Linked DNA regions of Astyanax mexicanus. The protein of the gene in region 1 interacts with the protein of each later gene in a pairwise test. Links are inferred from orthologs where the notes say so. Each region holds a gene or a part of one and is shown in the gene's direction. Other genes may lie near its edges. The genes, in order: nfyal and gtf2a1.

Region 1 (16,267 bases):
CCAGACCCTGCCAGTCACAGTCATTAGCACCATTGTATGATTGTATGACACATTGCCTTACCATGAGCACGCTGGTCACAAGCCTCACTCACAAGATAGCACCTCACAACTTTTACAAGTGTTTACACACTGCTACTCTACTTTTTTGCATGTATGTGTCTTTTGCATGTAGTGTGTAGTTTTTTGTTCAATTTTGTTTCAAGGTTTGTACTTAATGTTTGATTTTGAAACTTGTTAAACATTTTATTCAAAAGGCATACAAACATTATCACCAACACAACGCACTTTAACAAATTATAGAAAGCGATTTTATTGGTGTTTATCAAGTAACAAACTGCTAGGGGTTTCCTTATCCTAGTATTTATATATATTTTTGTATATAATTTTATTTCAATTCCCCCCCCCCCCCCATTTTCTCCCTAATTTACACATCCAATTACCCAACTCACTCATTAGGACTCCCCTTATTACTAGTGATGCCCCAACACCATGAGGGTGAATCTCTCCTCCGATACATATTAAGTCAGACTCCGCCTCTTTTCAAACTGCTGCTGATTGCTGTAGCATTGCCGAGTAGCATCACAGTGCGCTCGGAGGAAAGTGCAGCGAATCCGTTCTGATACACTAGCTCACAGACGTCTTGTGCTGATCGACATCACCCTTTTAGAGTGATGTGGGGAGCAAGCGCCATCTACTGTAGCCACCCAGAAAGAGCAAAGCCAATTTGGCTCGCTCAGGGCTCTGGTAGCTGATGGCAAGCTACATGAACAGGATTCATGGATTCTTATCCTTATATTCTGTACAGAAAGTTGCCTTGACTGTCAAAAAACTCCCTGCCTTTCTGTTCCACTGCACTGGGCTTTTCCTGCAGTGTATGAATGAGTTCCTCCAGTTCTGTGTCCGTGAGGAACACTCTATCAGAGTTCGATTCGTACTCAGTCTCTGAAATCTTTGCTTCTTCAGCCTCCATTTGCTCCTGATTTTCATTGGGCTGTTGCTGTAATGCACTCTGCTTCACAGATGGGAAAAGTGATATTTGAGATGTTCCTCTCGTCAGTGATGTATGTTCACCACCAGAGGGAACCAGTCCAGTCTCAAACTCTGCTGGTACCTGTGCTTCAGGGCTCAGAGCAGTCAAAGCACCAGTGTTGCCTGAGGAAAGCATGGGTGGCACAGAGCCGTCTGGCGTAGGCAGTCTGATCTGGCCCTTTTTGGACAGGTCAGTTTGTCCGTCTCTGAGAGAAAGAGGTTTGACTGTAGCCAACGCTTTCAAGTCCTGTTTAATCTTTCTTCCTGGAGGAGGAGTGAACTTGCTGCGGAGGATTCTGGAGATGGTGTCGGGACTGACTGAGAAACCTTCTGCTAATCTCTGCACGGTCCATTCCTGCGGAGACTCCTGCTTTAGGTATCTGTGAATAGATAACCATCAAGTCAATAATAGTATAAATATTCTCTTATATTCTGTAGACTTAACATTTTGGATGCAAGTGGGAGTCCCAGGCACTTTCCAAAAAAAAAAAAAAAACAAACAAACAAAAAAAAAAACTCATTTAGTTAATTGTATACTTTACTGTAACAATATTATCTTTATTCAAAATCATAAGTAAAATAATAGAAACTGAAGTAAAAAAAAAAAAGTAAAAAAAACCTCACATTTAAAACTACTTAAAATGTATTTCCCCCCTATCATGACTGAACCTAAATATTGTGTTATTTTTATTAAGGTGCTGAGATTTTCACAGTGAACACAACTGAAATGTCCACTGATATGGACACCAATACATTCTTGCAAGCACTTGGATCGTACATGGAACCACTCAGTAAACATATTGTGCATCATCTAAACCACCTAGCAGCACCTTATAAACTGCTTAGCCACACTTTAGCAATCAACCATTTACTACAGCAACTTCACGGTAACATTGTAGCAACCAACAGCTACAGTAGAGCAACACCTTAGCAACCACCTAGAAATACAATAGCATCCAGCTAACAACCACTTAACACCAAACCTTCCCACAGCAACTGCCTACAAATCCCTTAGTGACTGATTGATACAGCAAGGTGTAAGCTAATCAACCAACCTGTTATTATAGCAACTGAATAGAAATACCATAGCATCCAGCTAGCAACAACATAGCAACCAATCAACTACAGTAAAGACAACTTATCAACCACCTAGCAATACCATAGCATCCAGCAAGCAACAAACACCTTTCCATATCAACCGCCTAGCAATCCTGTAGCAACCAAAAGCTACAGCATAGCAACCACTTAGCAACCAACATTTTACAATAGAAACTGCATTTACCTTAGCAAACAACAGCTACAATATTGAAACACCTTAGCAACCACCTAGGAACACCAAAGCATCCAGCTAGCACAAACTAAGCAACACAATAGCAACCAGGTTTATGAATGTGTGACTGGACAGTTTGACCAGGTGATTCAGGACTCATTTCATGTCTTTTAAAAAGCGTTCAAAGAGCAATAAGAAATGTATAAACACAGAGATTAGATTTTTTTTTTTAAATATCAACAGTTACTGCAGTCAAAAAAGTGACAGTATTGGAGGTTTTCTGTTCTCTCATTATTCCACTATAACAGGGTGAATATGGTTTCCCATTTAAGGTCAGCTTCAAAAAACGAAAGTACCTTATCTGCTCAATTGCATCCCAGGTCAGTCTCCTCTCAGGGGCTCCACGCTCACTCATCTGCCTCCTGATCTTGTGAAATTTGGTAGCGTTTCTTATTCTTCGCTCCTCCCTGCAGAGAAACCAGCCGTCAACCACCTCAACCTAACAGTGAAACCAGACAAGCTGCTGATCCACAAATTCATGAATTCATGCTCTGACTTACTTTTCAAGCAACCCCAGTTTGGCTTCAACAGGATCTGTATCAAGCTCCTCCTCATAAGCATCCTCCTCCCTTCTTCTTCCTCTGTTGTCTGCAGCTGACAGCCTCCCAGCAGAGTTCATCCACATGCGGGCATCATGGCTGGCGTGGCATTGAACTGGTGCAATTCCAGGTCCTGGAAAAGCAGCGAGCTTCATCCAGCGGACCAGCCTCAAAGAGCTGAGCATGCTGACCAGTGGACAAGAGTGTCCTTGTACTGAATGTGATGGTGACCTAATTTATTAAAAATAAATAATATTATTATTATTATTACACGCCTGCTGAAAAATCCAACTCAAGACTAGATATAGCTGGTAGCTGGTTTCAGACAGTCCAAGCTGGTCTTTAAAAGGTGGCTATGCTAATTTTCAGGAATATACTATTGCAACAAAACAGTAATACATATACAAGTTCTATTTAAGCCGGTTACGATAAGTACATTAATCGACTTGTACAATAAATAAACATTAACTCAACTCAATTATAATCATGAGTTACATACATTCAGATGAAATAAAAAATGTTTGTATAAAATAATTATGTAACAAAATACAACATATAACAAACAATTATGTAAAAGTAATGTAACAACAAAAATCTACCACAAAAATAAAGTGTAGAATGTTTAGTGCTGTATATAAACAATGCAGACATTAAAAATAAACACAGTAAATAACCAAATAAATACAAAATAGAATCATTTTAAGAATATTGTGATATCACAATATGGATTTCTTTATCGTATAGAATTTTAGTCAATATTACTGCATACGATACGATATGGCACACCCCTAATCACAATGTCAGTGTTTTTCAGTACCGTGCAGCTCTATTATCTAAACACTATTATAAAAGACTAGAAGACTAAACTCTTAAATCAGACTCTCTCCCTCATTGGCATTACTCTGAAATACTGAACATCTAACAAAGTATGAATATTTCTCCTAAATTCCCAATAAAATATTGTCATATTGTCGAAATAGCAAAAAAAAATGCAGAGTTCAGAAATCAATATTTGGTGAAATAACCCTGGTTTGTAATCACAGCTTTCATGCATCTTGGCACGTTCTCCTTCACCAGTCTTACACACTGCTTTTGGATAATTTTATGCCACTCCTGGTGCAAAAATTCAAGCAGTTCAATTTGGTTTGACGGCTTGTGATCATCCATCTTCCTTTTGGTTGTAAGAAAGAAACACATAATTTTAAGTGCTTTCTAATTTTTTCAAGAGCTGTATAATTTTTATTATTAAGGTAGACAAGGTATCTTATTTGGTCATATATTTAAAATATCCAGTAATACTGTTGTACGAATATAATTAAAGTATAAATATGGCTTGGTTATTTCTTAATTTTTGTAATTCCTCGTACCACCTTAAAAAGGAGCCACTGTTACTGTAAATAGCTCAGTATCTGTCAGTTAAGTTAGTGCTGCGCTGTTTAAGGTGGACCGGGTCATTTAATTGAAAAAGCCATGCTCAGCCTCTTCACACGGCTCACCACCGCAAGATAACCCGCTGTAGACTGAATTATCAGCTCTAAATAAGGTGTTAAAAATAAAGGGCGTTACCTGTCCTGAGCCCGCGCTCTATACTGAGAGATAAGTTATTATAACTCGATAAAATCTTGTATCTAACTCCAAAAACCCGCAGCTCAGCAACCGCACTGAAGTCTTCTTCTTCTTCTTTAGGCAGACCTATACATTACTTACAGGTTCATTACCGCCCCCTGCTGATCTGGAATGTGAAGCAGGATTTTTGGATCGTCAACTGAAATTACTAGTGAATCTAAAAAAAAATTAGAATATCATTGAAAAGTTGCTTTATTTCTGTAATTCAGTTCAAAATGTGAAACTCATATATTATATAGAATTATTACTCGCAGAATGATCTATTTTTTATCATTAATTTATTTTATTTTGATGATTACGGCTTACAGCCAGTGTAAATCCAAAAATCAGTTTCTCCGAAAATTAGAATTTTGACAAACATACCAATTGGTACTTCTGGTAGTATGGGCAGTGTGCCAAGTCCTGCTGAAAAATGAAATCCACATCGCCATAAAATTTTTCAGCAGAGGGAAGCATTAAGTGCTGTAAGATTTTGCGGGAAAACAAAACTGCACTGACTTTTGTACTGACTTGATATAACACAGTGGATCAACACCAGCAGATTACATGGCTCTCCAAATTATCACTGAATATCAGTCTATTTTTGCATTTTATTTGAAAATCAAGAGACCAGAGTCTGTCAATCTGAATTATCATTTAGAACAAATAAATTAAATTACATTAGACATAAAAAGTAAATTAGATAGAATCTGCTGTAAGAATACATATATTCGCTACAAGAGCCAAATTATTTTAAACACTAAACAGTTTGGAGTGTTTTTAAAGAATCTACATTTATATATAATGGGTGATTCTCACGAAAAACAGATTTAAAAGGGTTCACACTTGAAAAATTTCAAAAGGCATTTAAATATAAAATTTCTTTTTGTTATGCAAGACTAGGGTCTGAACTTTTTAGAAATACTTTTTTTTTTTAATTTTATAATTTTTTTCTGTATATTTTGCACCATTTTAGTCAGTCAGAGCACACACATTCTCAGTACCGCAACATGATAACACAGAACAGATATGGTTTAAAAGTTACACATTTGTTACTTTTTAAATAGATATTATTAACAGTTGTGCTCATATGTGTATATAACCCAGAAAATATTATATTTATAAGTTTCCCATTTTTTTTTATTTTATGATTTGTCTCATTACCGCAACAGATTTCATGATTCATGTCCTGTCTTTTCAGGATATTTAACTGAAAAATTACATGTATAATTTCTTATTTAGTACAGATGACCTATGAAGAAATACAATTTATCCAAATACCATTATAAACTAGAATTTGTTTTATAACAGTAAAATAATTAGTAAATAAATATGTGTTGCGGTAAAGAGAATGGTGTTTCGGTAAAGAGAGTCAATGTTTCGGTAAAGAGAGTCATTACAAGGATTCCTACTTAATTAACAATAACACTTTACACAACAAACACAGAGTGTGAATGCTGTGAATAAATAACAAATTCTAATGATGTACTTCTTGAGTTTTGTATGGAGTAGTAATATTGAACAAAATGTGGTATTTGCTGTTGAAAATTAATCTCAGTAAGACTCAAGCTGTGAAAATATCCTATTTTGAACTGTGTATTTTAATAAAACAAATTTCAACATACCTCATTAGACATAAATTCCTTAAAACTTTAAACATCACTGTATAACTAAATTGAAATGGAATGTTTAAATACAAAATAAGTAATTCAACATCTCATAAAACAACTTTTTTATTAAGTATTAATTTCATGACAGATATAAACATCAATGTACAACTAAATTGAAATTAAATATTTAAGTATGAAACAAGCAATTCAACATCTCATTAAACATCTTTGTATTAAGCATTAATCTCATGAAAAATGTAAACATCAATGTGCAACTAAATTAAAATTAAAGATAAAATTAAAGAAAGTTGTTTAATGAAATGTATATATGTGTGTATATATATAATTTTCATATATATAATATATACATTTCATGAAACAACTTTTATTGTTATAAACTGTTAATAAAGGTTGTTTCATAAAATGTGTATATATATATATATATATATATATATATATATATATATATATATATATATATATATATATATACATATAAACAGTTTATAACAATAAAAGTTTATAAAAATAAATTTCATGAAACAACCTTTATTAACAGTTTATAACAATAAAAGTTGTTTCATGAAATGTATATATTATATATATGAAAATTATATATTATATATATATATATATATATATATATATATATATATATATATATATATATATATATATATATTATTTTTATATATTATTTTTTATATCTTATGCGGAAGTTATATGGGTGTCACTGCCCTGCTACATAAATCTGTTTTTTATCTGAAATTGCATCATGTATTGTTTTATATATTGTTTATTATAAGTAAATAAAGGCTTTTTTATGAAACAATATATATATATATATATATATATATATATAAGTTCATGTCACTTAAAACATTAATTTCTCTTTACCGCAACAGTGAATCTCTCTACCGCAACAGGCCTTAAATTGTTGCGGTGTATGAGAAGGCTGTTGCGGAGTATGAGGGACCTTAACCTTCTTTGATCTCTGTGGGGCCACCATGATGCCTGGCTAAACTTTTGCTAGCTTTTTGTATTTAGACTTTAAAAACCTTAAAAATTCCCAAAACACAATAACATTTTCATTTTTTTAAACATTAAAAACTAGCTGTTTCGGTAATGAGAAACAAAAAGTTGTGTATGCTCGCTGACAACCAAGTTTTTAACATTTATCTGGAGAGGTATAAAATTAGGTGCTTACCTGGTAGCCATCTTGGGTGTCATACTAAAAGGTGTCCCCCCTCTCAAAATGGCTGTTTTTTTTTCTGTTCCTTGTGGTCTTAAATGGTGCTTGAAAATTGTTGCGGAGGCTGAGAACATTGGTTCTGACCAAAGTTATTTTTCTAAATATTTTCTTTTCTTTTACCAATGAATTCCAAGTAATACATTTTTATTGACTGTAACAATTTACTTTATGAGATACATTTAAGTTTTTTATTATTTATTTATTTTAAATATTAAAATTGTGTAATTGAAGAGCCGAGATTCAGCAATGGACGCGTTGCGGTACTGAGAATTTCACACTAAATTATAAAAAATACATAATTTAAAATATCACAATGTCTACTTTTAATCACTTCCAATATAGCCTTTGATGAGATGTTTATAAACCAGTGTTTCCCAAATTGATAGCATTTACCTGTTCATCACACTCCTTAATGCCACCTCATTAGTCTGATTTCGTGAGAATCACCCTAATACGTAGCCAAAATAGTAACGTTATTAAGTATTTCAATTGTTATTAAGCCCCATCTCTCATTTCCCACACTTAATGCGCGCTCCCGCTGCGCACGCGCCCCCCTCCCATGCGCGTCACCTCTGCGTGCCTGCGCGCGCCGCCTCCTCCTCCTCCCTCCTTGAAGCTCCTGCCCCCCGCGCGCCTCATTTGCGCCATTTTGTGGGAGAGCGGTGGTGATTGGGTTTCTGCGCGCCGTACTGGAGCCAATCAGAGGGACACCGGACAACAGAGACACGGTAAAGAGCGCGCGGCTCCCGGGCGGCGGAGCTGACAGCGGGGATTGGTTTATCAGTGACCAACCAAATGAGTAAATGTGCTAAATACTGAGATCAGCCCGGCGCTGCGAGAGCAGGGCGGCCGGCGGCTCGGAGACACTAACGCGGCTAAAATGGAGGGTTTAGCGCTGGAGCTCCAGCAGCCCGCAGACAAAGGAGCTTAGCTAGCCTAGCTTAGCCTGGCGAGCTGCCTGCCTGTCTAGCCCGGGCTGCAGCCCGCTTACTGCGGCGGGCCGGGGGGCGAGTGCGCCCCTGCGCGTTATTAGCTAACCTAGCTTAACTAGATATTCAGTCGGTCTGAGAGGGAAAAATATAAAAAATAAGATACAAAAACTACAAAAAATCTCTCACTTCACCCAGCTAACGGACCTGTTTAGTGTGCTGTCTGAAATTAGCATGGTTAGCTCAAGTAGCTTCAAAAACAACAGCCTGTTTAGCTAGCTAAGCTAACTCTAGCTAACATAAACATGACCTAACCTCAGAGCACAGCTAACAAATAACTTAGATAGGTTAGTTAACTGCCTGACCTTAACATGTACTTTACCTTTAAATGTAATTAAAAAACGTTACCTTTTATAATTTGTTCATATCTAACCCTAGCTTGTTTTTGAACTCTGAAATTGAGCTGCAAATCTAAACTGAAACCAAGCACTATGAAAGAAATGGTTTTACCTATTGAGAATACTGCTAGCTAAGTTACCTTTAAAAGGTAAGGTAAATGTTAAGGTTAGCCAGCTAGCTATCCTAATTACAAGCTGTGTTTTAAGGTTATATCATGTTTGTGTTATTCTGTAAGTCTGAATCCCTCCAGAGGCTCTATATTAAAATGATAGCAGGCGTCCCACCTCTCCTGTGAATTCAATGATTATCACAAATACTAAAAAAACAGTTGCTCAGTGAGGCTCACAAATCATATAGCTAAAAGATCCTGCAAATTATGACATTTTATACCAGGTCCTTTTGGGAACAATAAAGCAAGAGCATCCTAATTGGTCTGTCTTTGTGCTCACTAGACTTAGCAGTAGGGGTGGGCAATATTATATCGTATACAATATATCGTGACACAGAAATATCGTGATATTAAAAATCCATATTGTGATAATAGAGATGTTCTGTCTTAAAAGTAGTCTATTTACTGTGAAGCTTTAGGTTTATTTATTGTATAATTGTTTTAGTTTGTAGTTTATATGCATGCACTAAATATTCTGCAATATTATTTGCTGCATTATATTATTTTATGCTATGTTATTTATTTTGCCACATTATGATTATGCTGTTATACTATTATACTATATTTCTGAAATTAATTAATTATTTTTCTGTTTTCCTATATCGCCAAGTATATCGTTATCGCAAAAATACCCTGAAATATCGTGATATTATTTTAGAGCCATATCGCCCACCCCTATACTAGACAGATATAATCTGGCTCTAGTAGATATATAATGGGAAATGAGAAATGAATGTGAATTTTTATTTAGCTAAAAACAACAAAAAAGTGGTACTTTGATGTGCTAATAAGGTGTAGGTGATATGGCACAATATTTCAGGGTATAATATCGTTCACGATATTCAACATTTTTGGCGATATTATCACGTACGATACGATATGGCACACCCCTACTGCTAAGTATACTGAGCACAAAGATCGAGCAATCGGGATGCTCTTGCAATATTGTTCTCAAGAAGTACTATACTATACAAGGTCCTATTTTGCAGAATGTTGTAGTTATATTATTTGCGAGCCCAAACAGAGCCTCAGTGTTTGTGAGAATCATGGACTTGCAAACAAACAAACTAGGGTAGGATAGCTGGCTAAACTTTAACATTTTACCTGGTAAAGTACATTTTATAATTTGTTATAATTGATTTGCTGCCAGTTTATTGAGCTCTTGCAGCTTCATTCAACAGTGGTAGCTACAAGTCCCAATTCAGTTTTTACTTTATAGGTCTCATGTAAAACGTTTTACTAATGAAAACTTAATTTTTTATGAAGCCCATAAGTCCCCATGACTTAATTCTTGTTCCCATGCCTTAAGTTGTGGGCATGCATTAAGATCTTGTTCCCACTATATTTATTAAGTCACAATATTACTGTGTCATGATATATTGTGTATGTTATGCAGCATACCCATAAAGACTCACAGTAAACAATAGACTGTTTTCAAAGCAGAACGCTTCTGTTACCCTACTGTGGATATTTCTTAAAGTCACAATGTTACTAGCACGATGTATTGTGTATGATATGCTATGACACACCCCTACTACAGATTAACAAAGCCATTCTGATTAATGTGATTATCTTTTAATGTGATTTTGACTAGTCATTTGTGGGGTTAATTTTCTAATTAGCATCTGAAAAATAAATTTGCCAATTCATGCAATGCACATTTTACCACTAAAAGGTAGGGATGCACTGATGTAGGAATTCTGGGCTAATGCCAATATCTAATATTACATACTTACATATCTTCCTAAACTGATATACACATTTTACACTCACAAAGAGACTAGACACCCCAGTATAACTTCTTATATAATAAATGAAACAATTATATACCTTGCATTTTAGCTTTCAATCTTTCAAACTCCATACAAACAATATAATGAAAGGTTTCTCCTGTAAAATACTGATGTAATTCTGATGTCATTGTGCATCCCTAGTAAAAGCTTAGCTAAACTAGTTAGAATGTGATGTCATTTGAAGTCATTTTGGGCTGAAAGCTGGTCATAGACCAGCCATTTCCAGATAAGATTGGTCACCCCTGATAAAAAAAATACAGCTCTCAAATTGCATTTGTACTCGTTTATTGCCGTTTTATTGATATAATATACATATTTACATCTATTATTTAGTTATAATGGATATATGCTAAAAAAAAAAAAAAAAAAATGCGTTCTCTCTCTAGGCTGGTAAAATTTGGGAGTAAAATGGAGCAGTACAACTCCACGACAGGTGGGGAGCAGATAGTAGTCCAGTCAGCTAATGGGCAAGTCCAACAGCAGGTAAGCTCTTTTTGAGGTTGTTTATGGTCTTTGTGTGATGTTTTTTTTTTTGTTTAACAGGACAGAAGCTGTGAATTTGTCTTGTATGAACTCTTTATTTTAAAGATGTTTATATTCCTGTGTGCATTTTTGACCTAGAAAGGAATTGGTTTGAGTGGTGTTAATATTTTGCATGATACATTTTTGCTTAATCCTGTAGCACACCTTTTCCCCAACTAATATATTTACAACCAGAGTTTTGCTCACAATCACGGACATCCCAACCCGCAAAAACTCAGTATATTGAGGTAGCATCAAGCCACATATATTTATTATTGTAATTTCTAGCTATGTTTATTAATATGTAAACAGCTGTGAAAGTAGCATATGCAATTGTACCATATTATTATACTATATTAAATTATTTTTCTGCTTATAGATTTATATATATATATATATATATATATATATATATATATATATATATATATATATATATATATATATATATATATATATATATATATTTATTTATTTATTATGTTCTATTCTATTATAGTCCTTTGGCCTCACTCATTGTGTATGACAGCAATAGAGGAGCACATCTAGCAGCTAATATACAGCTCTGAAAAAGAGAGTCCACTTCAGTTTCTGAATCAGTTTCTCTGATTTTGCTATTTATAGGTATATTATATATATTTGGTGGAATAACCCTGGTTTTTAATCACAGTTTTCATGCATCCTGGCATGTTCTCCTCCACCAGTCTTACACACTGCTTTTGGATAACGTTTATAAAGTTTGATGGCTTGTGATCATCCATCTTCCTCTTGATTATATTCCAGAGGTTTTCACTTTGGTAAAATCAAAGAAACACATCGTTTTAAGTGGTCTCTTATTTTTTGCTGGATATAAGGTATTCACAGGAGAGGTGGGATGTCTGCAATCACTTTAATGTAGAGCCACTAGCAGAATTCAGACTGAGCCATTTCACCTGGAAAAACAGGTTTACAAATGTCACTGTGCCAAGTTACAACTGCAACACTGTTGAAAACAGCTACAAGTGGTATTTATGAGGAGTTAATTAGCAGTTATATGGTTATATGGGCTTATTCACAGGCACAGGGCACAGTTACAGCTGTACAGCTGCAGACCGAAGCGCCTGTCGCTACAGCGGCGGGTCAGCAAGTGCAGACCCTCCAGGTAGTTGTGAGAACTCTGAGATTTTTCCAGTCTTATTCTGTCGCATGCAGCTTGTGTCTGTGGTGCTGTGCGTGAGCTGACCAGCATGCATTGCTTCAGTTTGAAAATGGGCCAGGGTGGAGTTTCCAAATCAATGTGACTTTGTAAAGTGCTATATTTTACTGTATATCATACATTAGATTCAGCACTTTTGGAAATTCCACCCTGGATCTGTTCATTGGGTCATGTATTTTATGATTTGTATTTAATTATTTTGTCATTTATTTGGCTTTTTATTATGGGTCTTTTAGTATATTATATCAGAGTAGCTGTGTTCCAAAGCCAAGGCTGCAGTCAAGAAAGATTTGATTTTTCCTCTGCTATGTTGTTGAAGGCTGCCGAAGCCCTGAGAGAGGACCATTGCCCTTGCTCTCTCTGGGTGATAGATGGTGCTCTCTCCCCTCTTCACTCCAAAGGGTGATGTCGATCAGCACAAGGCGTCTGTGAGCTGATGTAAGCGCTTTATTCTGAGTGGCTGTAATGCTACTGGGCAATGCTACATCAGCAGAAGCTGTAAAAGAGGTGGTGGTTGACTTCACTTGTATCAGAGGAGGCATGTGCTAGTCTTAACCCTTGTGGTGTTGGGACATCACTAGTGATGGGTGGAGTCTTAATGGTGGGTTGGGTAATTGGCCTTGTAAATTGGGGTGATTTTAAGGGCCCAAATGATGTAATGTTTCGTCTAGGGTTTTTCATCAGCATCAGTATCTCTTAGCACGCTTAGTATTAGTTAACGTCACTTAGTATTGGTACTCCCACTTCACAAACTGTTTTTTTTCCCAGCTGACAGATATGAGCTTTATAGGACTAGGATAGTAACTTTATCTGCTTTTGGTTTATTTTTAAATTTTAAGACACTTTAATTTAATGTAGTACCACTAGAAATGCTGCCTTATAGCTAGGTCTGTCACGATAATTACATTATCGATTTATCGTACAATAAATGGACATGACCTCAGTAATATTTGATAATCGTTATATCTATTGTGTTTAACTTCTACGGGCCTATTATGGCAGTAGGTGAAGGGGAACTAAGTGTATATTTCCCGAACTGTATGTCAGTGACATTTAATTGTCCTAAAATGACAATAATATCGTTTATCGCAACATTTTCTAGGACAATGTATCGCCCACTAAAAATTGGCATTGTGACATGTCTACTTGCAGCACCAATATCTCCTTTTTATCCCTTGCATACCCACAATGTTATGGGGGAGAAAAAAGAAATACAGCACTATGAGCATTGGGAAAAAAATTGAAAATGTATCTTTTTAAGCTTTTTGAATTGTTGAAAATTATTCAATTATTATTATTATTATTATTATTATTCATTGAAGAAAAAAAATGTCTTTTGTGTCACAGTGTCTCCACATTTGCATGTGGTGTCACCACAAATCCTTGTTTAACTGTGACCAATGAGCTACTGAAAAAGAGTCTTCATAAGAGAATCCTACCTCAAATTCAGCCTAGGCTTTGGAACACAGCAGGTTCACAAAGGCAGTCTTCGAGAGTCCTCTATTTTCATTGTTGAGCCTTTATTTTTTTATGTTTTCATACATTGCATGCTGCTTCATCTGCAACATGAGCGGTTTCATGCCTTGTGTGGTCGTATGTAAACTGTGGAAGAGCACGAGTGAATTGTATGTGCCCATGATCCCACAGTGAATTTGCATTGTACAGATTTCTAATGCATCGTGTTCAGCATGTTCTTCTAATATTGACGTGTTTGACTCATACATGTGATCAGTGCAGCCTTTCGCTCAGTCAACATTATCAGCCCAGTCCACTTCATCGCTTATGATGCTTGCTTATAGCTAGAGAGAGCAATTCTTTTATTGCTTTATTATAAAATAAGTGGATCAGTATTATTGCATTTTCAGTTCCCGGGCATGGATTAAACCTATTCATAGACTGTATTTTCCTTTCACCAGAAAGTCAAAATTAAAAAAAAAAAAACCTGTGCAGTCCAAGACTAGGCTTAATCTATGTCTGTGAAACTGCTCCATAGTTTTTTGACTTGTTTAAGATTTTAGCTGTGGATTGGTCTGATAACCTCTGTTTAAAACTGATGCTCAGTATGTATTTAACTGGCTGTCAGCAGCCTGAAGCTAAAGCTGCATGCAGATACCATCTGTCGCTGCTGGTGATTTTTTTTTTTTTCTTCTTCTTTTTATTTTTATTACGAGTTTAGCACCAAACTAACTGTGAATGGCTTTCTTCCTTTGTGTGTAGGTCCAAGGGCAGCCCCTGATGGTGCAGGTCAGTGGAGGTCAGCTCATCACCTCCACTGGGCAGCCCATTATGGTGCAGGCCATGTCTGGAGGCCAGGGCCAGACCATTATGCAAGTGCCCGTCTCTGGAGCTCAGGGCCTGCAGCAGGTATGAATTCACACAGGGTTGTGTATCGTTAGTTTGAACATATGATAAAATTTTTATGTCTTAAAGACGTGACGGTTGTCCTGTAAATGAAATGTAAGCAGAAATATTGAGCAAATTAACTTTTCATATACAGCTCTAGAAACATTTGAAACACCTCAGTTGTCTGAATCAGTTTCTTTGGTTTTGCTTTTTATAGGTATATATTTGAGTAAAATTAACATTATTATTTTATTCTATAAACTGCAGACAAGATTTATCCCAAATTCCAAATCGAAATGTTGTCATTTAGAGCATTTATTTGCAGAAAAAGAAAAATGGCCAAAATAATAAAGGTACAGTGCTTTTAGACCTCAAATAATGATAAAAAACCAAGTTCATATTCATAAGAGTTCTTAAGAGTTCAGAAATCAATATTTGGTGAAATACTCCTCCACCAGTCTTACACACTGCTTTTGGAAAAATTCAAGCAGTTCAGCTTGGTTTGATTATGTTCCAGAGGTTTTTAATTAGGTCAAATCATCAAATTTTGCTATTAAAATGAGGATAATACAAGAATTTTCACCAGAAGGGACCAATCATGTCAGGATCATAATGATGTATTCAAAAAACAAGCATGATGTGTTTGATTTATTTGATATTTTAAGTTGGACAATATGACTGGTTGCTTTTGTGCATATTGCAGTGAGCTTTAAATAATGGGATTTTTCGTTCAGCGCTTGTTGGACTTCAAGAATACTACACTACAGATGCAATAATCTAGTTTAGTCACATCTTTTTATTAATATAGTGTTTTTGTCCTGTTTGTTCTGCCTTCAGATCCAGTTGGTGCAGCCTGGACAGATCCAGCTGCAGGGGGGTCAGACACTGCAGTTGCAGGGACAGCAAGGCCAGGCTCAGCAGATCATCATCCAGCAGCCCCAGACTGCTATCACTGCCGGACAGAACCAGGTAAGTGCACAATTGCAAAATGATGGGAATGGCACGCTAGGGATTGGCATGCAGTTTCTTGATCAGGCAAGCACACCCCACACTTAAACCAGTGAGAGTCCATAAGCGAGACTCGTAGTGTGATTTTTACACTGGAATTGTTGGACCAGAGTCCGAACCAAGGGTTGTATGTTTTTTTTCCATGCATACAAATTGGACCATGGCTCAGTTAATTCAAACTGACACTACCTCTTCTGGTCAGACCCAGGTCCAATCCCATATTACCCCTTAGCCCTACCACTGAGTACCCTTTTTGTTTTTCTTCATAACAAGCATAAAATGCAAATTGCAAGTACAGACAGCAAGATGAATGCAGTATAAATACAGTATTGATTTGTTGGCATTTCAAGTTGCTGCAGCCAAAGACTGAAAATATAAAAAAATGATAATTATATTTCCAAGTCAGCTTTTAAGAAATCTATCACAGAAATTTGATTGTGAAATGTTGTCACAGGCCTGATGATTTTCTGATGTTTCCGTCGTTGTCTATATTACTTTAAGTCTTTTTGTCTCTTGCCAGGCTGCCATTGTAAATAAGAAACAG
Region 2 (16,933 bases), on another chromosome or scaffold:
TTTGTTTTTAGTGATTATTCTACTGCTGACTGAAATACAACACATTCATAAAGCATTTAAAATATACATTCCTGTAGTCAAACTTGATAATTTAATAATTATACCTCATACGGTGTGTAACTGCAGGAAATCATTAAAATATGTAAAAGGGTTGGGAAGCACTGCCTCAGTCCATATGTAAGCAGATGTTTTACCTGCGAGTGTGAACATGACTGTGTTCCCTTAGGCGCTGATCGTGACTACAGAGGCAACAGACCGGCCTGTGGGAGACAGATCTGCCGGCCCATGGGTATTTAAAACAGAATTTGTGGCCTAATTACAGTGGAATAGCGGAGAGACATGAAACAGAAGTGTTTAGTGTTTCTAAATGTCAAACAGTACAAATTGTATTGTATAAAACTGTTATCAGATTAACTGCCCTTGTTATATTGTTTATTATTGTCCCTCATCATGCACAATTCCATGAATTTCTTGCAATTTATGTACTGTGGGATGTTTACATGCAGATGAGCCTCTTTATCACCCAAGCTCCAGAGCAAACTAACAAGAAGACTTTGGAAATAAAGTAGATTTAAGTCATTTTTTGTTTAAAGCAAAAAAAAAAAGAACTCGGGTTTGGAGTATGTGTGAAAACAGCCCATGATATCTCTACAACCTGCTGCTCTTACTTTGGGAAGTGCCAAAGATAATTCCTTTTAAAATGAGTGCAAGCTAATCCTCACGTTTAATCAGAAGACTAACTCACAAAACAGTGATGTTAAAACAGCCTGTGTGTTTCCTGTGTTCATTGTTCTCATCATGTTGATATGACTTGTTGTTTCTCTTTTTCAGGGGTGCACAGCTCTTTAATGAAACCTGTAAAATAAGTAACTAAGATTAGCTGAGCAGAAGCCAAGGCTACACAGTACATCAGTATTTTTTACTAAGCTGGATATCCTAATATTCTGAGGAGCGCTGTTTCTCCATGCTGAGCTGTAAGTGATCCTAGTGCGCAGTAAGCCTGCCTCAGCCTCTAATGTCTGCCAAACATTTTGCTACCAAATGGAAACATTTTCATAGTTCCAATGATTCATCTGAAGTTCCCAAAGGGACTGGATTAGTTTTACGCGTCTGTAAAACTAAAAATAATTTTACACATCTCCGCAGTCAGAAAACTCCGGATTTGATTGGTTTGATTGGTTTTCTGTTCATAAAGTTTACTGTTTAGAAAGTTTCCATTTTGGAAAGTTTTTGATTTGCAATAAGCAATGTGTTTAATCTCTGTGGACACGGCATAAAACACAGCATAAAACACCTGCCTAGGAAGAGAGCCTTGAGTTTGGATGGGACTAAAATGGTCAGACTAGTTCAGTGAAAAGCTAAAATTAAAGCCGATCCAGATAAAAATTAGATCATAGACGAGCTCATGTGAACACAAATTATCCCACGACACTAATGCATTTAAACCTGTTTGAATAGAACAGACTTAACCAATCTTGTCAGCAAAGGGCCGGTGTGACTGCAGGTTTTCATTCCAGCCAAGCAGAAGCACGCCGCTACATATAAGGTGACTGACCACCTGATTAAACAGGTGCAATCCGGTCTGCTGATGATGGTTTACAATAAAAATCTGCAGCCACACCAATCCTTTGTGGATGGGACTGAACACACCTGAAATCCCATTGGATTTTATAACACAGGGCATAAACATCTTGCCACCATGAAGAAATCCATGTTTCACTGCAGTTGCCAAGTTTAGGAGGCTTTAGCATTTGAGCCTCTAAAACAGGGACTAACACAGTAAAGGTCTTAGTCAAAAGTGAGAAACCACAGCTAATAGTGCTGCGTGTACGTTAGAGGACGTGGAAATGAGCAGGGCAGATAAATATATAATTATACCCATTGCAAGTACAAATTTCAGTGTGTGTGTGTGTGTGTGTGTGTGTGGGTGGCATTGAGCCTTGCTAAATGCTCCCAGTGTTAGCTAAGCTAACTAATAAGCAGTGAACAGACTGGACCACTGTTCTCCCCTTCTCTCTAAAGCTCCACATTTTTTGTGCTCACATTACAATTTAACCACTCCCCAATTCCAGCAAGTTTTGAAAAGGTTTGATGGAGTTTCATGTAAAACAGAGGAATCAAGTGCTAGCCTTCATGTGAAAAATGGAAAAACAGCTGTAAACATCATGAACATGAATGTACTCAGTTTGTTTTGAGCTGATTTAGAGAGGGAGTAGCGAACATATTCAGTAACAGTAACGTACTTTAATCTTAAAGTTACAATAGCTGTAATTATGAATTATGGGCTGTGCACTCCTGAAATTAGCCATTTTCTCATTTTACATAACAAAAAAGAAACTGGCAAATCTTCCATTCAGACATTTAGCTAAAGAGCAGGTGATATTTTTTAATGTTTCCAGCGCATGTTAAAAATGCAAAATCAGATGCAATATATGAACCCTTTCTGCCAAGTGTGATGTAAACATCTAGAGTGAATTCATAACTGAAGCACACTTAATACAAATATGTGTATTATATGAAGCAATGCCTATTGTGTTACAATATCAAAACGTACCAGTCTGTTTTTACTTGATTTATTTGATTTATATTGTTTTCTAGAACAACATCATTTTGGATAATAATGGATAATTTGCAATTTTGGATAAGTGTAAAAAAGATCAGAATTTTATTATGACTATTTTATTATTATTTTTTTATTTAAGCATATAATTTAGCCGTACGTTTTCTCAGTTATACTGCATGGGTGCTTGTAAATAAGAAGGTATTTTTAATCCACCATACTCAAAGATTAACGTATGATAGCTGATGTATTTAGCATGAAGCATGACTTATTTTCCTACGACGGTAGAACATTAGAGGTTTTTCTCTCATTTTTTTATCCCGTTGCTGTACGGATGGTGTATCTTTTCTGCAGACGACTCTTCTAACAGAAGATACTTTATGGATTTTAACTCTCTGGAGCTCAGGATTTTTATTTGGGCTTCAGGTGAAACCGATGCTGTTTGTTTGCGATCCTCAGTTTTGGTGGTCCACAAATTGTCAGTGTTGTTGTCCAGATATTGTAGAGAATCAGTGTTGAGTGAGTTTTCACTCTTTACACCCTTTAAGCTTGTGCCTGCCTTCACTATGTGTGCTCAACTGTCTTTATATGGTTTTATTTTTTATTTGATTTTATTTTTGTATTGGTGTGGGTAGTTTAAATCAGATTAATGGGCCCATATCAGGATGTTTCTGACATTTGTTAATATAATATTATATGAAAACATTGCTGAAGTTTCAAAGCCTCTTAGTCCAAACAGATTATATATGGAATACAAATCTAAAAAATCAGATGGCACAAAAAAATGAAACAAAATCTTAACCTAAATCAAACCAATAAAACTGTAGCTGTTTAGCCACACCCATTCATGATACAGAGAAAAGATATGGGCCCTTTAATTAATACAATCAAGTTGGCATTAAACGTTTGTAATAAGGATGCATGATGACATCAGGATCATATCAGTGTATCTAATCCCAATTATTACCATATATTTGACATGTCCAAAAGTATCATTACAGCCCACTCTAATAATAGAGTTCAGTCACATTGCTGACATTCACACACAGTGTGATCTACATAGCACAGCATTGACCAATTAAAAGGGGACACTCTGGAGCAGTCATGAGCACATATAACCATAAGGTCACCATGCCTAGTGCAAAGCATGGGCTGACAGGGTATAAAGCCCACCAGCACTGGGCTGTGGAGGAGTGAAAATGTGTTCTTTTAATATTGAAGCTGGAGTGGAACAACTGTGAATCCACCGTCAGTAACTGTCCTCACTGATGCTCTTACTCTTGGGGCTGAATGCAGTCAAATCGAATCCTCCTCATATACAGTATTCCAACAGCTAATGTGAAGTCTTCCCAGAATACTAAAGGCTGTTAGTGCAGCAATTGATCACAAACATCCTGTTAATACCCTTGATTTCAGAAGCAACACTAAAAGTGTTTGGACGTGTGGCATTTATGCATGAAAAATATCACATATTGTAATCCTGCTGTTGGAATAAGTAACACATTTGATGAATGTCATTATAGCTTCATTCATCTCAACACAATCCCACTTTACATGGCCCAGAATAAGCTTTCTGTGCCATGAAATTCACCTTTAATAATAATAATACTCTCTGCTGGCAGTATATGTTATAGCATATATATACCTTTGGAAGCCACAGTTACCATCATCAATAGTAAAGTCATGTAGTTTTATATAAAGGTTTTCTGACCCAGAAAGGTTTTCTGTGTAGAAAGTGCAGATTGTAAACTGTGAATCCATCCACTATTTGTACCATTTGTGGCATCAAAACAGAAAAAAATCAGAATTGTAGGCTGCTCCCTGTAAAAGCATTCCGAATGTTAAAACAAATCATTAAATAACTCACTAATTGCATTGTAATATAACAGCACTCTTCTTGTCTTCTAAAGGTTAACATGCTGCTGAGTTTTGATCTTTGAGATTTAATCCACACCACAATATGTAACACACTGTGTATATGAGCATAGCCTGCTGTTAATACGACACTTAATAAGACACACACAAATTCAGCTCTTGAGTCGAGTTTGTAACTAATGCCAACATGACTCAAGCAGAAGTGTGCATGAGGTTCAGGAAAGGTTTTTAAGTTTCGTTTTTTGTTTCAACTCTCTGCAAGTTTTTAAACCACCACTAATAGAATAGTGATATGTGTCTTGTGTTGTTGACACTTGTCTTTACATGGTATTTGTGTCCAATACTCAGATAGCAATCCCATGCAAAGTAAATCTGCCAATTTTCTCAATGTGCAATCATGACTGCCAAAGAACACGTTCATGACTACCTGTAAATAACTTCACACTCTCTTAGGTAATGAAAAAAACAATGTCATGTCTTTACAATCATTTGTTTCACTTGAGAATTACATACAATGTTTATGTAATGTATTGTCTTCCAGTTGCAATAATAAAGGATCCGTTTTAAAGGGATTTTTTTGTGCAAAATTTCTTTCAATGGTATTAAAATTATTGCTTTACACTTGATGGAAATTTGTACTGTAAATATGCAATACTATACTGTAAAACATTTTACAAGTTCATGACAAGCCTATAACATTTATGAGCAAAGGACAAAAAAGTAGCTAATTGTTAGTAATTGGTTATTTAAAGTAATCTGAGTTGATGCCAGTTTTCTAAATCTGCTTTACTTTAAATGCCCAAAATCCATTGTTGTTACACAACACGGGGTCAATAAACAAGAACGTGCTGATCTTATTTAATCACATGCTACATGCAGTGATGGTGTATCCGAAAAGAACATGTAAATCTACATTAAACCAAACATCCCACCACATCTTCCATTCTCAAATTATGGCTTATAAAACAAAAACAGAGGAAATATTGTGCTTTAATTGCCTAGGTTCAGTCTGCCACTGAACTGCAGCATAAGCACAAGATAGAGGAGCAGTTAATGCTAAAACTAAAGCAGTTTTAAGAAACATGGCATCACAGAGTATTCACCCACACTAAAAACAGTTATTACACACAAGCAGCTCACAAACAACAATTATCAGCTCAGAGTGTGTGTACTCTACACACACACCACAGGAAAATGACTTCACTGCAGAGTTTTAAAGGAACAGTGTTGAAACTCTGCATTAGCTCACAAAGGATATGTTCCAATTGGGTACTTCTAAATAGATTTGAGTATGAAGTATGTAGCATAGATAAAAGTATCAACGTTTAGTATACTCAAATATCCATAGTGGATGTTTAGGTTGTGTAGATTGAAATAGCAACTCTCTTTGCTTCCTGTTAGTACGAAAACAAATTAGTATGGTATTATTCTGTGTATTTCACCTGCTAAATTAACGCCCTGTTCTGATTGGCTGCCTTTTGTCGAGCCTCAGTCTGCTGTTTTGACATGTATAAAGAAGTAGAGACCTAGACCTGAGTAAAAGTACAAGTGCTCTATCAAAAAAGTTATTTGAGGAGAAGTTAAATTTGAAGTATTTTTTAAGCTCCACCCTTAAGGGGAAGTACTAAAATATTCAACAGTTTTTGTGTATAAGTATTGCAAGTAGTTTATAGTAAAATGTTAAACTAAAGTACTGAGTGTAAAAGTACAGTATTGTGTTGTGTAGTTATTACAGAAAGCAGTGGAAAGTTCTCAGAATGAAAGGCAGAACAGGAGCAGTGAGGTCTTCTTATAAGACCTCATCAACATGATCGATTGATTTGCTCAATGATGAGTAGCTTAATCTAACCCGGTGACAGTGCAGATCATCTACCGCTCTGGCTTTAGTGATAATGTGGGTTTGGAATAATTTCTAACATTTATAAAAATGATAAAATAATAAATAATACCCCAGAAGATACAACATTTTAGTATTTATGTACAGTAGCGAATTAAATCTACCGTATTATTAATCTCTGTAAAGGCTGAGTATATACAGTTGTTTCTGAATATGGCTGCAGTTCTTAAAGACTTGAGTGAACAGAGGTCTCAGACTTTAGGGTGAGTGTAGTGAAGTGTGACAGCTGAGGGTCATTCATAATTAAACACACACAGCCCTAATGACCAGACCCCTCTCTGAGCCTTTGCACAAGCAGCAGCACTCTGTTGCTATGGAACCACAGGAGGGATTTTATTTTTTTAAACTGTATGACATCACAATACGCTCACATTGAATATATTGGGTCACCTGACTGTAATGCCCTACCTCCTGCTTTCATATCATTGCATCCTTGCCAACTCATAATCATTTGTGTCCCTGTAAATCTATATAACTATTCTCTTTACTATTCTCTCTTTAAATTTGTTCATGATTGACAGTTTATGTCATGTTGTATTATTTACAGTTTCTGTTCTAGAGAATTTTTTTCAGATGATTTTTTCAGAAAATTGTATTTGTTTGGTATGTTCAGGTATGTTTAGAGGAGTAAAGCATTCGACCCAAAAACACAGCTCTTGTATATTGCACAAAGTGAATAGAATAATGAAGAGGGTCTATTTTCAAATGTTTTAATACAACGTTAATCCATCAGCAACTATGATATATTTGAGAGTAACTTCTGCTCCTTCTATAGCTTAAATTGGCAGTGGTGGCTCAACGGTTAAAGTACTGGGCCAGTGGGCCATCGACTCCTGGGTTTGGCAGGCTGCCACTGTTGGGCCCTTGAGCAAGGCTCTTAACCCTCACTGTTCCCTGATAGCTCCGGATATATGTTCAACAATATCACTGTGTGTTTTCACTAGTGTGTATATGTGTGTTCACTGCACAAATGGGTTAAAGGCAGAGGCTAATTAACTACAATGTGGGACTAATAAGACATGCATTAATATTATTATTAAATACGATTTTCTTGTTTAAATTAACACAGTGCAAAAACAATACAAATCATTACATAATAGCATATTAAATATATTCATATTTCATACATATTCCATCTTTCCATTATGCTTAATTCAACAAATAAATAAATATAGTGTTTAAAATGTGAATAAAATGGCATTTAAATTTGCTGTTTGAAGATTTACTTATTTTGACTTTGAAAGCAAACGTATATCAATTTATGTCATTTCAACATTTGAATAAAACTTTAAAAACAGCATAACTTTGCAGATGGGGTCATTTTTCCACTGATCACACACACACAAACACACACACACATACACAGTCTGCTGCCCTCGTGTGGTGGAATGCAGTTATTATTAATATTGGTTAGATTAAATGTATTAAAAGAGTGTTAAATGGATTATCACTGTTATCCAGTCCTGCGGTCCTATATAATGCACTTTAAATCTAATAGAGAACTTGTGGTAAGGTGTAAGGTTTTTTTTTTATGTATTGCTTACAGTACATCATTTACCAGGGAGCTTAAAACTATTGTTCTGCTGTAGAATTCTATTTTAATTTTGCTGTATTATACGATATTTAACTATGTTTGGTAATTTTGTTATTATGTAAATGTAATATAATATAATATAATAATTATAATCAAATTAATCATCACCAGCACCAATTTTGTTATATATATATAATAATTTGATTTATCTACTGGCTTTATCTCCAGTTAAAAATTATGTGTAAATATATATATATATATATATATATATATATATATATATTACCCCTCTATGCATATTTTGGTAATAAAAAAATAGAAAATAACGTAGTTTTATAAATGTACTAATTCTTTTTAAGCGCCTCCCCCGCCTCTTTCTCTGTGATCCGGGTCCTGTCTCGTGCCTGGCGGTCTCGCGATACCGTGACGCAGGCGAGCTAGCTATTTGACGCATGCGCAGCAGCCTGGCTGTGTGTATAAAGCAGCACGACGGCGGCGGCGAGACGGCGGGGGACGGAGCCCGGGACCCGCGCGCTGATATAGCTTATATACCGAGCTCACGCAGCCCACCGGACAGCGCGCGGCTTCACCTACACACCTTATGCGGGCAGCTGCGGGGCGCGCGACCGCTCGGGTGTAGTTTAATCAGAGCTGCAGCAGCGCGGCGTGTCTGGCGCTCCGCCCGCGGTAATGGCGAGCTCGGCTAACTCTAACCCGGTGGTAAGAACCCGAATCAGAGAGAACGAGGCGAGGGCAGTGAGCAGGCACGAGGGCGTGGAGTGCCCAAAAGCGGTGAACAGAAAGCAGCAGCAGCGCGTGAGAGCGGGGCAGTGTGACCTGCGCGAGCGGGTGTGGAAACCCAGCCCATGCTCGGCCTTCCCTCTAATAAAAAGTGTTAGGCACACGAAATCGGCCATGTTAAGTCCTGTCTCTCTGCAGGCGGGGCTCACAAAGCAGCCCCGCACTACAACTACTACTGCTGGAGTGTGATATATATGTATATATTAGTTACTAACTACTATAAGATTACTGTTATATATTATATATTACAGATAGTGCTGCATTAACAGTGCTATAATAACGTGCGTTGTCTTAGTTTATCTACAGGTTTACTGGGATACTCTCTCTTTGTATTTAACGATAACTAACTGTCATTGTCCGTGTGCTGCTGTTACTCCGAGCTGTGTATATATAACTTACAAAGCCCCAATACTCATATTTTAGGTTTAATTCTGGCTTTGTATCATTTTTTAAAAAGCTGCACCTCCTGTACACTCTACTCTCATTCATCTCCAGCTAACTCTCTCCAACCAAGTCAGGCGATATGATTAAAGTTAGCTTTTTATTGGAATTCTACCGTTCCACCTTAAATCCCGCAGCGCTAACATTCCGGTGCTGTTCAGGCGCCAGACTGTATCCGCTGCAGGATTTAAGGTGGAACGGGGTAAATTCCAGTAAGCTCAGAGAGAGGGAGCCACTCCGCGCTGCAGTTAGTTAGCACTAGCCTCGCTCCTGCGCTCCTCTGACCCTCCCTCCCGAGCAGCCCGGGTTATATACGGCCCCGCGGCCGCTCTAATATCCACCCAGACCGGGATGGGAAGGCGCAACTCCGCGCCACGTCACCGCCGGAGCTTTAAATAGCACGACGGACGGAGGAAGGGAGGGAGACCAGACTAGGACATCAGGGACTGGACACTGTGGGGCTATAGCTCTCGCTCTCTCCATAACCCTCTGCCTGTTCCTGACACCTGCTATTCATCTGTTTAGGCTTATTTTAAATCATTATGGGCCATGCGTTGATTATTATTATTTATTATTATTATGATTATATTGCACTTAATTGAATACTGTGCAAACCGATTGTACAAAAAAAAGAAGAAACTCTATGGTAGTTTAGTATGTATTCATCTGCCTTTAATGATGCTCCCTCTCCAGCCTAAACTCTACAGAAGTGTGATGGAAGATGTGATCAATGAGGTCCGAGAGCTATTCCTGGATGAGGGTGTGGATGAGCAGGTCCTTATGGAGCTCAAAACGGTAAATGAGCTTACCTTTATCTGAAAAGGCCACAAAACATTTTAAGAAGCTGTTCAAATTGTCACTTATTTTATTTTTTTGTGTACACTAGGGCTGCAACTATTGGTCAATATAAATTCATTTTAACTTTGCAGACTACATATTTCATTGTCGACTAATTGTTCATTTGTAACTGTACCACATACACAAAGTGTCTCCAAAGGTGCCAAAACACAACAAATTACATATTTAAACACTAAATATCAGCACTTTCCATTCTTAAACATCATCAGGAATAATAGCTGACTACTCGACTAATCGAAAAAACAATCAGATTAGTCGACTACCAAAATAATCATTAGTTGCAGCCCCAGTGTACACATACAAACCTATATTGTACACACATTGAAAACCCCCCAAATTGTTTTGCTATTTTAATGATTGTTTCAGGATGTGCTGAGAGAATAGTGAAACTCTATTTGTTTTCCTATAAATAGACAGCCATCACTGAATGGTGGAAAGAAGAATGTTGATTGCGGTTAAAGTGATATTACATAAAATAATAATCTAGTTAAATTAGTATTCTATAGGGTTCAGTCAAGCCAGCGCCACTCTGAAGGCAACCAATAAAGTCAAAATGAAGGATGTTTGTTTTAAACTATTATTTACAGTGGGTAGTCAAATATATTTTATCGTTTTGTATTTATAGATATATATATATACTGATATAGATTTTGATATCAGGCATCCATATACTCCTACGCATTAGTCTGGACTAATCAAACCAGTATACAGTGAAGTGTGCGATTAAAAAAAATCATACCCTTAAGCTTGTTCGTTGTTGTACGGATTGTATATTTAACTTATGACGTAATGACTGTGACTTGTTTAAAGTAAAAAAAGTATAAATCATTTATCAATAACTAAGTAATAAATAAAAAAATATATAAATTTGTAAAATGAATAAGGGTCCGGTTGTCTCCAGTCGTGCCCTTTAATGGCTTTTTGTGCTGTGGTTACTAGACCTGAGAAATGCTTCCTTGATCACCAGTGCTGATTCAGCTTTCTCAATCAAATATCTAAATAGTGCTGACTGATGCCTCCTTGAGTCATTGGTGTAACCCTCAACTGTGGCCTGATCAATAACAGTTATGTGATTAAATGTGACCTGCGCTATTGATCCGCTGTTGTGTTGCAGCTGTGGGAGAGTAAGCTGATGCAGTCGAAGGCTGTGGACGGCTTCCACACTGAAGAGCAGGGTGCTCTGCAGGTGCAACAGCAGGTCCAACAGGTTCAGCAGACCCAGCAGCCCAGTCAGCCACAACAAGTTCTCCTGCCACCGGCCCAGCAAGGTCAGAACAACATGTACTTGTACACCTTTACAGTTGAATGACCTTTTTTTTTTTCTTTTTTTTTTTTTATTAGTTTGAAGCTTCTCTACAAAAACGCTTTATTTATTTTAATATAATACAATAACGCAAATTAATATGGAATACTACTAAAACAAGAACTTGCTTTCCCCACAAACAGCACCACAACAGCAGGTGATTGTACAGGATTCCAAAATCCTGCAGCACATGGGTGCGACCGGCATGGTAAGTATATCCTTGCCGATGAGAATAAAGTTTCAGTTTCTGGAACTCATGCTAACTGTACCAGATTACAGCAGGTGTCACTTTGAAAAAATATTGGTGTCTTACTCTGCTATTTTATTTTCTGTTTAGTGAGATTAATGTGACTTTTTGTTTCGTGTTTTAAATTAAATACATTTTCTATGATCAATGTTAAGAGCGCAGCTGCCACAGCGGCAACCTTGGCGTTGCCTACCGGAGTAGCAGGTGTAGGGCCCTACCAGCAGCTCATCACAAGTCAGGGTGAGAACATCTGATGTATTACTTTTTAGATTAACATTAAATTAACATTTAGATTAGTAGTGTGTGTAGTGTATTATGATAAGTTTTTTTTTTTTTTTTTTTTGGCTGGCCAAATAAACTGCGAAAGCCTTCTTTAAAAATAGCAATGTGAGAATTTGTATTGCTTTTAGGCTCTCCTGATAATTTTATCCATCTATCTCTTTCATCTACACGTGGATTTCTTAACAAAACTATAATACTCTTAATGAAAAATTTCATCTGAGCTACATTACATGATTTTACACTGTTACCGGTTAATCTGGTATTTTTTGGGGTCCAGCCAGTACATTCAACTATGAAGGAAGTACAGCTCAATGTCAGTGGGCATTCAAACACAAGGTCTTGCACTGTTAAGATTTTCATCTAGTCTGTAAACATTTAAGACTGAGATATGCTGTCACAGTAAAATCCTTATTAGTTTAACAATATTAGCTTTCTCTTAATTTGTTTGAAGACTATATTGTTGTAAATTAGTACTGTACCCCCAATAGGACTATTAAAATGGGCTATACTTGGACGTATTTGTTTATTTTTAGTTGGACAATTTTCAAAATGATGTCCTTGCACATGTCCATCCTGTCTCTATATACATGCTCAGGTCTTGTTTAGAGTGTTAGATGGGGTAATTGGATTGTTGACTTGCAGAATAAGCTGGATTAAATTGTGACTGGTTGGTATCCAGGTCAAATCCTGCAGGTGGTGAGGGCGGCTAATGGAGCTCAGTACATCATCCAGCCTCAGCAGCCCATCATGGTCCAGCAGCAGGTCCTGCCCCAGATGCAGCCGGGTGGAGTGCAGGCCCCCGTTATTCAGCAGGTAAAATTTAACCAAATCTCACAGGCAAGAAAATATATGTTAAGACACTAGACTTTTTGATGTTTGTATTAATCTTGTTTTAATGCCTTAATAAAAACAAATTTCAACACTTTCAACAATTGATAAGTGGTTAAATATACTATTATGATATTGATCAACTGATAACATTTAATAAAAAAAATATATACATTTGAGTGTACATAGTACACGTAGTGTAAAAACACAACTGTTCAAGAAATGGTGAGCTTCACACAAGGTTTGTTTTACTTGATCATGACCAAGTGAGCAGGATGGTACTGTGAGGTATGCACACTGTTACATTGCTGAGTTTGCCATTCCAGCTGTTCCAATAAATAATCTGATAAATCAGGTAATTGGGCAGCTAGAAAAGTGTTGCAATTTTGGGAGACTTTCCTAGCAAACTCAAGACATAACGCCCCAGAATAGTCTAAGCTACTGCCATGTTTGCTGTATTATTGCAATATTCAGAGTTTACCTTACATTTCATCTATTTGTGTTTGTGTACGCAATTATTCATCTTTTATACAACAGTTAGTTCCGACCTCACAATCTGATTGGTTGAGAAGTGATCTAGCCGTTTTGATATATGTGATAACATCACGGCCTTCTCACACTAAACCTGTATCACTCCGCGGACGCGTTGCCGAGTAACGGCATATACACACAGGGCACCCGCAGCAGCGTTAGCTTAGCACAGGCTAACGCTCAGCCGGGGCACGCTCGCCCGCAGCGCTGGCTCGCCTTTCATGGGGAAAAAAGGGAAAGGAAATCGCTCGGTTAATGCCGTCTGAGAGCCAGAACGCTAACCAGCCAGGCTAGACTAAGCTAAGTTTATGCTAAGCTAAAGCAAGCTACGCTAACCTAACCACCGTCCAGCCGGCTAGCTAAAACCAACACCACCCAGCAAAACAAGCAGAAATGCTCAAAAAATGCACAGCGTTCACCTGAAGACGACTCAACGGAGCAGGAGAGGAGAGTATTAGCGTTACTTCACGCTCCTAACGTTTACCATCTTCGCTTATTCCCAATTTTGACTTTCGTGGTGTTAGTCTGTATGAACCATACACCGTTTTGTAGTTCAGTTTCAGTTCTGTTAGTTTTTGTGGACTACTTTTTGGCGGAAGGCACAGTCCATATTAAAGCATATTCACTCCTAATTTCTTAAAGATCTTTGATTTATTTTCTTTATTCATTTTGTAAAAAAAAAAAAACTGTTGTATAAAAGCAATAGAACACTCGAGGTCGTGTGTTATCACGTATCATTACAGATAGGTTTACCCTGTTTGTGTATTATGATTTACTAATAATATATGTTCATAATTCGTGATAACACACTCCCTCTCGTGTTCTATTGCTTAAATAAAGCATACAACAGCAGCCACTTCAGAAAGTGATCGAGGTGTTTGGAGACCATTTTTAATTTCGGTTTAGTGTTATTTATTAAACATTTAATTTACAGCAGTGCCAGCATGATGCTAATTTTGACAATTAACTGTCAAATTGATTGTGATGGTAAAGCTATCTAGACCAAAGTTAAAAGGTTTAAGTGTATGGCATCTTCACATTCCCAGTGGTTAATACTATGGCCTATAGATATAGATACTATTCATTACAAGCAGTAACGTGTGACTGAGTGTCTAATAAGAATAAAGACATTAAGTTCATTAGTATGCTGCTAATGGAGAAACAACACTAACAAATCTCCTCTTTGTTTTGTATCTGTTTAGGTCCTGGCTCCTCTGCAGGGTGGCCTCCCTCAGCAGACGGGAGTAATCATCCAGCCGCAGCAGATAGTCCTCACAGGGAACAAAGTGCAACAGAATGCTCAGGTCAGCATAGCAAGGCACACCGCACCTTTTTTTATTGTTTGTTTTTTGTGCATGCCTTTATCTTGGCTCATTATTGCATTTTTATTGTTCTTATCGCCTAATCCTTTAAAAATGTACCTTTATCTGAACATGTAATTAATTGGATTGTGTAGTTACTTACCTTGTGATTTTGGTTCAGGTCATGCAAGCAGCCATGGCTGCGCAGGCAGGTCAGGGAGCTGCACAGATCCAGGCCCAAGGCCAGCCTCAGCCTCAAGTACAGTCTCAACAGCAGCAACCAGTGCAGCAACCACAGCCGCAAACCCAGCCGCAGCAGGCTGCCCAGCAACAGCCACCCATGATGCTGCAGGTGGATGGGGCTGGAGACACATCCTCTGAGGAGGATGAGGAAGAAGAGGACGAGTACGATGAGGACGAAGATGAAGACAAGGATAAAGATGGTGCGGAGGACGGCCAGGTGGAGGAGGTCTGTATCATTGTTTATATCTGCACACTTCTAGACATCTTTACAACAATAGTCAGTTGTAATACAGAAATGAGCACATTCAGTTGGGTTGCTTTGATTAAGCTTCAAAATGGGCAGTAATTCACTGGTTTGTTTGATTGGATGATCATGCTTTCACATGACAACATCACTAATAATATGTTCATAATTTTTAAACGTTTATTTTTTTTATATATATATATATATATATATATATATATATATATATATATATATATATATATATATATATATATATCATGGAGCAGTGTGCATATGTTGGGTTTGAGCTCAAACTGAACATAGTAGTTGTGTTTGTGCTTTAACCATCCCTGTCCTTACAGGAGCCTCTTAACAGTGGCGATGATGTGAGTGACGAGGAGGACCAGGAACTGTTTGATACAGAGAATGTGGTGGTGTGTCAGTACGATAAGGTGTGTATACTTGGGTCCCTATTACAGAAGAACCCTAACTCCAAAATGTATCGTCACCATCAGTTGATTTTAGGATGGTGGTGTATTCTTGACACAAGTTTTTATTCATGTACACAAGTGTAATTCAAATATATTTGCCTAACATGGTGTTACATACTGGTGTTTTAATATAATTATAATCAGTTCTAAAAGAAAACTTACAGACTGCACAGCCTTTTCCTTCCTTCCTTCTGTTTGTCTAGGCATAAAGATGAGTGTTTTGTCTTATGCGTGGATGCTTGGTTTACAGCAGTTGTTAATTATTTAAACATGGACATTCTTTATATTTTGCTTTTAGATTCACAGAAGTAAGAACAAATGGAAATTTCACCTGAAAGACGGTATTATGAATCTGAATGGACGCGATTATGTCTTCTCCAAAGCTATCGGAGATGCAGAGTGGTAAAGAAATGGAGAGAAAAAAAACTGTTGAATGAGTATGCAAGACTTTAGGCCCGGGATTATATGACCGTCAGAAGATGCACATGGTACAGGGATGTGGAGAGGCATCCCTGTACTGTCTGTCGGGTGATGCTTGAGCAGTGTCGAAGTCCTGTACCTTTTTATTGGTGGATCTCCAGTGACTGCCCCCTTTTTATTTTTTATAATTTTAATTTGTATTTTTTTTTTTTTTTTCTGGATCTTCCTTTTATTTTAACAGAAAATTCTGAATGCCCAACCTGAACAAAATCTGTATAAAGTAGAGGCTGTCTTGAGCAAATATTGTAGTGCCTCGAAGTAGCTGTGAAGTCCCCAGACCTGGCCCCAAACCCCCTCCTGGCGTGTACTTTTAGATTACTGTGTGCTGTTGTTGGCTGTAATGTAGTTCTGAATAGATTTGGGTTTCCATTTTAAGATAATCCCTCGTTAATTAGGTATCTGCCTACTTGGGTTGTCCTGAATTTCCCTCTGTTTTTGCCAAGTCATTGCTTTTAAATTTTTGCCACACATTTTTCCATCATTAAATACGAACACTAAAAATGTCCAGAAGCAAATTTAAGTCTGATCCATTTACCTCTGATTCCAGCTAACGTTTGTCCTTGTCCCACACTCCCCTTTTTAATAAGCCAATGATTAGATTTAGACAAATGTAAACATTTCTCAAACTAGCTCAAGTTTTCGTGTGTTTGTCTAATACAGTATTTTGCAGCTGGTTAAAGGTGTGCGCTGTCGGTGTGACGTGTGGTTATCATAGCATGCTTAGTCCCAATGGCTTTAATCTCGCGTGTCTGTGTGCGTGTGGAGTCACTGCTCAGCTGTGTCTTTAAGGACTCAAGACAACCCTTACAATACTTTTAGTGCGGTCAAACTTGCGTTTTTATGTTTGTTCGTTTTTTGTATTTATTCCTGAAAGCTCAGGCACCATCACGCATTGGGGATGAGATTGCGCCACACTGTGCTCTTATGAAAAAAAAAAAAAAAAAGAAGTGTTCCTTTTCTTTCTGCTGTCTCGTCTGCTTTAGAAGGTGACTAAGCTGTTCCATCAAGTCTTTACCTGTTTTTAACATTTTATTT

The links.
Region 2: the proteins of nfyal (region 1) and gtf2a1 interact in binary tests that used the Homo sapiens proteins (3 or more experiments, as listed by UniProt). The two-hybrid records come from large-scale screens. The link is inferred for Astyanax mexicanus from reciprocal best matches to the Homo sapiens genes NFYA and GTF2A1.

The regions. Positions count from the first base shown.
Region 1 is NC_064419.1:41,609,168-41,625,434, reverse strand, and holds the start of nfyal (nuclear transcription factor Y, alpha, like), read left to right. Parts: upstream 1-7,961; 5' UTR 7,962-8,093; exon of another isoform or gene 8,094-8,164; intron 8,165-11,041; 5' UTR 11,042-11,063; coding exon 11,064-11,138; intron 11,139-12,234; coding exon 12,235-12,321; intron 12,322-14,589; coding exon 14,590-14,736; intron 14,737-15,552; coding exon 15,553-15,684; intron 15,685-16,267. Other genes in the region: ngrn (neugrin), read right to left, coding at 791-1,409, 2,656-2,766, 2,860-3,083. UniProt on the Homo sapiens protein: Component of the sequence-specific heterotrimeric transcription factor (NF-Y) which specifically recognizes a 5'-CCAAT-3' box motif found in the promoters of its target genes.
Region 2 is NC_064408.1:88,788,417-88,805,349, reverse strand, and holds the start of gtf2a1 (transcription initiation factor IIA subunit 1), read left to right. Parts: upstream 1-8,336; 5' UTR 8,337-8,556; coding exon 8,557-8,586; intron 8,587-9,801; coding exon 9,802-9,903; intron 9,904-11,080; coding exon 11,081-11,234; intron 11,235-11,412; coding exon 11,413-11,477; intron 11,478-11,671; coding exon 11,672-11,756; intron 11,757-12,477; coding exon 12,478-12,611; intron 12,612-14,359; coding exon 14,360-14,461; intron 14,462-14,639; coding exon 14,640-14,927; intron 14,928-15,289; coding exon 15,290-15,379; intron 15,380-15,716; coding exon 15,717-15,824; 3' UTR 15,825-16,933. UniProt on the Homo sapiens protein: TFIIA is a component of the transcription machinery of RNA polymerase II and plays an important role in transcriptional activation. TFIIA in a complex with TBP mediates transcriptional activity.